Linked DNA regions of Ovis aries. The protein of the gene in region 2 purifies or fractionates together with the protein of the main gene of each other region. This does not show direct contact. Links are inferred from orthologs where the notes say so. Each region holds a gene or a part of one and is shown on either strand. Other genes may lie near its edges. The genes, in order: UBN1 and CABIN1.

What was found.
Region 1: the proteins of CABIN1 (region 2) and UBN1 purify together in Homo sapiens (affinity purification with western blotting; 6 studies listed by BioGRID, with this or other methods). This does not show direct contact. The link is inferred for Ovis aries from reciprocal best matches to the Homo sapiens genes CABIN1 and UBN1.

What each region holds. Positions count from the first base shown.
Region 1 is NC_056077.1:4,495,328-4,499,130, reverse strand, and holds part of UBN1 (ubinuclein-1), read right to left. Parts: coding exon 3,404-3,803; intron 1-3,403. UniProt on the Homo sapiens protein: Acts as a novel regulator of senescence. Involved in the formation of senescence-associated heterochromatin foci (SAHF), which represses expression of proliferation-promoting genes. Binds to proliferation-promoting genes.
Region 2 is NC_056070.1:71,394,767-71,398,569, reverse strand, and holds part of CABIN1 (calcineurin-binding protein cabin-1), read right to left. Parts: intron 3,136-3,803; 5' UTR 3,081-3,135; coding exon 3,078-3,080; intron 2,620-3,077; coding exon 2,527-2,619; intron 2,161-2,526; coding exon 2,047-2,160; intron 1,645-2,046; coding exon 1,510-1,644; intron 1,358-1,509; coding exon 1,177-1,357; intron 1-1,176. UniProt on the Homo sapiens protein: May be required for replication-independent chromatin assembly. May serve as a negative regulator of T-cell receptor (TCR) signaling via inhibition of calcineurin. Inhibition of activated calcineurin is dependent on both PKC and calcium signals.

The DNA.
Region 1 (3,803 bases), on a different chromosome or scaffold from region 2:
AGGAAATGAAATAAACCCAGACAGCCAGATCACGCTGATTTACAATAGTTCCAAGAGCCTTTTAATGAGCTCTTTATTCATTATTAAGAAGAGCCACTTCTAGCCTTTCAGCACCTAGATCACAACTTTATATACTGTACCTGCTTTTGCCGAATAGAGTGAAATCTGGTATGATTTTCTTGACAAAGACCAAAGCAGTTCGTTTGTTCTTAGGGTGCACCGCAAGGCGTGCAGGATTTTAGCTCCCCGACCAGGGGTCAAACCTGTGCCCCCTGCACTGCAAGTACAGAGTCTTAACCACAGGACCACGAGGGAGGTCTCAAAGTTGTTTTTTCCTATCTTATTTTCTGTGAATCGGTGTCTCTCTAGTTTTGCAATGCAAGGGTTCTAACTGTACAGAAGAGTAAGCACTGAGCAGGTAGAAGGGTGGGCAACATGTGTCTCCATTTCTTTTCTATTTTTAGTATCACTATCCTTTCCATTTTATGCTTGAATGAAGAGAAAACAGACACGGGTCATCTGCACGGAGCAGGGTGAGTACCTGCCAAACTCTATCAAGACAGTTACATATCAAGGGGCAACGTTACCTGAGCTTTCCAACCAGCAAGACAAAAGACACAACCAACACATATTAGGAGAAGACAGACAGGGGCAAGGCCTTCAGGTCAAACCATGGGCTCCCTGGGGCCCGTGAACAGGCACAGCAGAGGGGAGCAGAAAGCGGAAAGTGGGCTCACAGCGCTGGAGCGCTCCCTCTCAGAATCTCTCCTTCACACATGGACACTTTCAAATATATTTTTCGAAGTTTTAAGAATAACACCTAGTTAGAAGACAAATCTTATTTTCGCTTCCAACTGCAAAACATTTTTCCCTGGGAGACTGATGCACATCACGTTAGAATCTGCTTCAGTACCATGGGGGACTGCAAACAGGACCACGGACTCTTCCCGTCCCGGGACGGGGCATCCCCATGGGAGGGGGCCGCTAGCTGGTAACTTGCTTTCCCAACACAGTGTAGCAGAGGTGCACACCACCTCAAAGGCTAGAGCATGAGGGTCTTCTGGCTTCCACCTTCACCCTCTTGAGATACTACCCCGAGACTGTCCTGCCCAGAATGAGACGGGAGAGGCCCTATGGTCCTAGCTATCCCAAGGCCCAGCTATCTCACCAGCTGAAGGCAGCCCCGAGAGCCACCACATGTGTGGGGTGGGGTAGGGTGGGTTTAGACACAGTAGCAACTGATACATGTACCCCCTAGGGCCAAGATTTAAAATCTCAACAAAGCACCACAAAAACAAAGCGACGAGAAAAAAAAGAAAAAGAAGGGAGTGAGAAATAAAGTGAGAAACATAAACACTGCCAACGTTAGTTAGATGCATCAAGCTTAATTTAAATAGGAAAATAATGTCCAGTTCAAGATCTAGGACGAGGCTTCTTATTAATGATCCAAAGATCCCCGTGTGACTTTTGAAAATCATGTGTCATTTCTGTGTACACAGGCGTCTTTCCCTGGGAGGAACCTCTGCCAGCAGACTCTCACAGCAGGGCCTGGGGATAGAGCGCCTGTGCACACGTGCAGGCGGCGCCAAGTGCCCCCAGCACCAGGAGCCTTCACAGTGGCATTAAGTCACTTTCTAAAATAAGCCTTCTTGTTCATGCAATCATTAAAAATAATGAGGGCTTTGTAATGATATTTATTAAGTGAAAAGAGCAGAAAACAATTATTCACGACTATAATTACAACTGCATAAAAACATATACACAGAGGCTAGAAAAGAAAGTGAGTTGAAAATAGTTTTCAGAGCGGCAGGATTTTCCCAATTTCCCAAGTTTCCTAATGCTGCCATTGAAGGGCCAGGTGATTGGCTGAAGTAACAGTTTCACACGTGAATATATGTTCAAGCCAGTACAGTGACGTACAGTCACCACCTCCTCACCAGGACCTGAGCCTACCTTACCTACGGGCTCCTGACTTGCCTGCATCACGCCTGAAAGACGACCGAGACTCGGCAATTCCCGAGGAAGGAGAGCCTGCTCGGCATCCACCTGATGGGCTCCACAGAGTAAGGTTTTCTCAAATCATGACCCAATGCTGTTCCACATGGAGCCGCTTTGTTTCCACCAGACTTGTCCATCCTTCCCAAGAAAATGTAATACTGAGTCTCAGTTATCAGACTGGGACACCCCCGCACTGGCAGCAGGGACGCACCCAGAGCCACTTTAACTTTCCTCTAAGGAATGACTGGCCTCTGCCACACACGTCTGACCTGACTCAAGGCTTTCAGGAGCTACAGGATAATCTGATTACATACCACAAGACTGAAAAGGGGTAATATTTTTTTTTTAACATATATTCTGAGAGCAAGCACAGGACAATAAGCTCATACACACGAAGTTCAGATTTAACTACTTCTACCTTAATATCCTGTTAAGACAGACCCTGAATCCTGACAGGGCATAATTCATTTAAATGGGTACATTCAAACAACACTGTGTTCATTCCACAAGGATGAACAGAGCTCTGAATAAGACGTCTGAATTATTTCACATGCCTTGATCAAGTATTTTTTGCAAGTGAGAAAATCATTTGCAGAAGTGGTTAACGTTTTATCCTGCCCTGGTCCTAGTGTATATGAGGACTAGTATACACAACAGAGATTCTGAAACACTGAGAGTCACTGGTTTGAAACCTAAGCTATGGAGTATAAGTGCCCCCAGGGCTGTCACAGTCAGGATGTCCAAGGTGAAATGGTATTTTAACTGAAATACACTGTAACTAATGACCCGTGCTTGGCTTAGCATGGGTATTCACGGACCGTGGAGTTTACAGCCTTTAGTGCTCTAGTACTAGCTCAACTCCCCATCCCCAGGGGGAAAACAGGAGGAATGGCTGCTATTTTCCGAAGACCGTTACTGCTTTTAATGTGGGGCTGTTGGACAGCACTTATGGTTCAGCTCTTCTTACTTATCACCATTCCAGATTCCTATAATCACTACCTAACACTAAACCCAGTGGCAACTAAGCATATGCCCCACGCCCAACATGTCTGCAAACTTCTATGAATGTTCAAAACCTCCAGATTACTAAAGAGATGGATCTCTGCCCCAGCTGCCTACTGCCAACATGAATATATGTCACACAAAAGGAAAGAGACTCTGACAGGCACAAAGGAGAGAAAAATCTCTCCAGAAGCAAATTTTCCAGACGTGAAGGAATCACAAAAGGACAGGCAGAGCTGACCCTGTGCCCTTGCTTGGGGTGGGAAGAAAGCCTGGAAAAGCAGACACTAGGAGCGCCCACTGACTAAGGGTTGCTCTGGGCCATGAGCTGCAAATGGTTCGGGACCAGCAACGATCCGCCCAATCGCTTCCAGGAGAGCCCAGCCACTCCATGTCACCATACCTGAGCCAGCTCCTTAACGCGCTTCTCCAGGGGTGCAGGCAGGCCTTCGGGAAGGGAAGAGGGCTGCCTGAATTCCTGGTCCAGTCCCACCCCAAGGGAATCGCTTTCATCATCCATATCGCGGAAGGGGCTTCCTTCTGGAGACTCACTGAGCAGCTGCTCCAAGTCCAAATCCGTCAGCGAGTCCATGGCGGTGGCCGCCTGCAGCAAGTCATTGTCAGAGGCAGAGCCGAAGAGCGAGAGCAAAGGGTCGGAGGTGCCTTCCAATTCCCGCAAGCCCTGAGCTTCTGCTGATGACACTGCTATGGGCTTATGTTCTTCGTCCCTCTTTCTCTGAGCCTCTTTCTCCTTTTGGAATTTCTTCAGCATCTCTTTAACACTCAAAGCCCCAGAATACTTC
Region 2 (3,803 bases):
TGAGCCGGGGCGCAGAGATGGCAAGATACTGAAGGCCAGGCCTCCAGGGGGCGCTCGAGCTCCAGGACGAGCCCAGGGAGACAGGGAAGATGCAAGCGCCAGAGTCAAAACGGGGAAACGGGCAGCGCACAGAGGGCCACAGACGCACACACACTCTGCGACGACGGGACGCGAGGGTCCGCGCCGGAGGAGAGCCCGTGAGCGAGCGGGCGGTGCCAGACGCACAGAGAAGAGGACAGACAGCAGAGGCCCAAAGGCGGAGGCCGCGGGCCGCGCAGAGAAGAGGACAGCAGAGGCCCACAGCAGGGGCCGCGAGACATGCCGGCCCTGCCTGGAGGGGCAGGGGTGGCTGAGCGGGCTCTGGGGACCCAGAGAGAGGCTGGGGTTGCCTTGGGCAGTGACCACATGGAAGGGAGCAGCAGCTGGCCCCTGCCACCAGGCTCGAGCACACGGAGCCAGGGAGTGGTGTAGGCCCAGCCTCCCAGCCTCCGCCACCCTGTCCTGCCCCACCCACACCTGGAAAGGGAAGAGCCGTCAGAGCCAGGAGCTCCCGGCTGAAACCTTCACCCAGGCTGGGCGCTGGTGTGCGTCTGTGCCCAAGGCCAGCCACCCTGCACCCTGTCCTGCCCAGGGCCCTCCTGCATAGCCGCCAGGAGGAGCTGGCCCAGGAGGCCCAGGACCCCGTCAGTGCCTGCCTCGGGATGGCCCACAAGGGGCCATATGTGCCCTGCAGAGCAGAGGGCCAGGCAGAGCAGCGAGGGGCGCCGCCACAAGGCAGACGGGGCTCCACCTGGCACAGGTGTTTCCAGCAGCCACGCTGCTCTAGGGGGGGATGATAAGCCGCGAGGAGGAGGAAGCGAGCTTCCGGCACTGGGAGCGAGACTGCAGCCACCAGACCGCCCATTAGCAAATGGCAGAGCAGGCCTGGGGCAGGAGCAGCGGCGCTGGGGGGAAGGCTGAAGGGAGCCCGTCTTCCCACCATGGCGCCAGCGGCAGACCGCGACTGAGGAGGAGAGCGAGCAGAGCACAGCGGGGAAGCAAACGCACCTCCATTTCCCCTGAACGCTGGGCAGACAGCCCTTGCGCGTCAGCGCAGGCCCCGAGCTCAGCCAAGCCGCCCACCCGCCCGCATGCCGACGCAGCGCGCGCAGGAGAACTCAGCCGCGCCCCACTCACTGGTGTAGTCGCTGAGGGTGTACAGGACAGTGATGAGGTTGTCCAGGCAGGGCCAGTGGTCAGGGTTGCACCGCAGCCCTTCCTCAAACGCGTGGCGAGCCAGGGGCACCCGGATGAGCCTCAGGGCCACGTGTCCAATCTTATACCAGAGGTTGACATCCGTGGAGTCCAGCATGACTGCCTGCAAGCAGCGCCGCAGACGCGTGCTCAGTGAACCCCGCCCTCACCAGCAGGCGTCCGAGGGGACAGCACCATCCCCGCTGCCCAGAGTGCCCAGGGATGACTGGGGAGCCACGCGGCCCCCAGGGGCTGCCTGAGGCCCGCGGGGAGCACCTCCAGGTAGAACTCCATGGCCGTCTCCAGGTCCTCCCGCTGGGCGGCCAGCTGCGCCAGGTTCTTGTACGTGGAGTACTTCAGCATCAGCCCAGGGTGCTTCAGCCCCTCCTTCTCATCGCCAGACGGAACTGCCTGGGAACGCGGCAGAGAGGCACAAAGTGAGAGCCAGGCCTTAAGCCTCCGCAGGCCATCAGCAGGGCCCCGGCCTCTATGCAGGCCTGGGGCCAGTCCGGAACCACCCTCCACTGGAGAACAGTGTGGCCCTGGGGGTCTTTCAAGGACAGCCCCACCCCCACCCCAGCTCTGAGCACACAGACGAGAAAGGCCAGACCGCTGCTCACATTACGTGTGCTCTGCCGCTTCCCAAAACAGGAGGCCCTGAGCCATCCACACGGCCGCCTCCACGCTGAGAGCTGAGAGCGGACAGAGCGCAGCAGCTGGCAGACTGTGACGCGCGCGTCTCTGGACTCGCCCAACCTTGGAGCACCGCAGCAAGGAGGGCGTTCCGCACGTGGGAAAGCCCGGCGCACTCACCTCCCGCAGCAGGCGCGCCTCCAGCAGCTCGTGGTAGGCCTTGGCGGACTCCTCAAATCGGTCGTGCTTCTGCAGGTCCAGGGCCTTGTGGTACAAGGCAAAAGCCTCTGCTTCCTGAAAAGCCAAGACGGGAAGCGTTTTCCGAGAGCACAGAGGTGTGTCTCTTCAAGCCGACCGTGCGTGTGGGGGCTGCACTCCAGACCGTGTGAGCCGGTCTCGCTGCGGTGGAGACGGTCCTGAGGCCCCACCCTCCCAGGGGCTCACTGCTCAGCGGCCCCCCAGGTGGACACAAGCAAGGTGGGCTCAGCTGAGTCCGGGCACCAGCAGGCAGCAAGCCGAGGGCTCGGCCTGAGCAAGGCCGAGGTTCCAGGAGCCCCGCTGACACCTTCTGGGGGGTGGCCGCGTCAGCCAGAACAGCCCAGAGCCCAGGAGGGAAAGGAGACTCCAGGGCCAGCTGCAGAGGAGCCCGTGACCACACACCTGTGCCTCCTTTGTCTGGGTCTTGTGACTTTTAAAGCTTCCTTCATGATCATCTTCGACTGTGGAGCTGGCATTCAAGGCTGCGATTCGAATCTAGAGGCAGAGGTGTGAGGGAGGAGAAGAGCTGCTTTTAGATAAAACATGGCTCATCTCATCAATAACCTACAAGGCGCACAGCTCTCTGTAGCACACTCGGCCTCAAACAGCTAGGCCTCCCCAGATGTGGGGCTGAATGGCAGGTGGCCACTCAGGGAAAAGGGGACCTGGAGCATTCTGCAGGGACCACGCCAACCTGCTTAGGGAATGTGTCCACTACAGAAGGGCCAGGCTGGGGACACCCAAGAAAGGCCTGACGCAGCAGAAGACCCAGGCACCAGAAAAACAGCCTCCAATGACACGGGCTGTGTCTCTCTGCCACAGAGATGCGGTCCTGCCGACCACCCACAGGAGGGCGGACACCCACACCCTCGAAGGTGCCCACAGCCCTACTCGGACAGCCTTCAGGGCCCCCAAGAACCCGCCTCCCCCCGGAGGGAGGCACCAGCACATACCATGGTTGGAGCCTCTGGCACAGGCAGTGGCGGTGGGCAGGGCCAGCCCGCTCGGCTCCTGGGGGAGGGAGCAGGACAGGCTGAGGGGGGCCAGGAAGAGCCGGGCCCGGGGACCCGGGCACACAGGCGAGCGTGCCTCAGACGGCTCAGCAGTCTGCCACCTGGGGAGCCCCTGGCCTAGGGACAGAGCGCCCGCCCTGGCCAGACAATTGGGGACACGGCGGAGAGAGCCTGACACAACCCCGGGGCTCACTGCTCAGCACAGTAGTAGACTGACAAACAGTTATTTCTTCAAAAGGTGAATAAAATGGAAACACAGGCAGCAGGTAGAGACCAGGTCAGCCGCCCAGATGGGGAAGGTGAAGAAGGAAGGCCTGCGATAAGACCGGGGTGCAGGCGGGGGGGGGGGGGGGGGGGGAGGCAGGGGCCTGGAGGGCGAGAGGGGAATGTGAAAGAAAAACCCATGCGGAATACAAAGGAAAAACTTAGAGGCAGGCAGACCAGTGTGAAATCTGCAGAAATTTCACAGACTGGTGAGGACATGGCGAAATCTGACCCTCACACCCTGCAGATGGGAACGAGAGCAGCGAAGCCTACTGGCAGCGGCAGCTGCTCAGAGTGCTAGGGGCCACTCCCAAGGGAAACGGAGACACGTCCACAGCAAAGCGCGCCCTCGAATGCGCACAGCAGCGTTCTGCACGGCGGACTCCAGGTGGGGGCAACTCA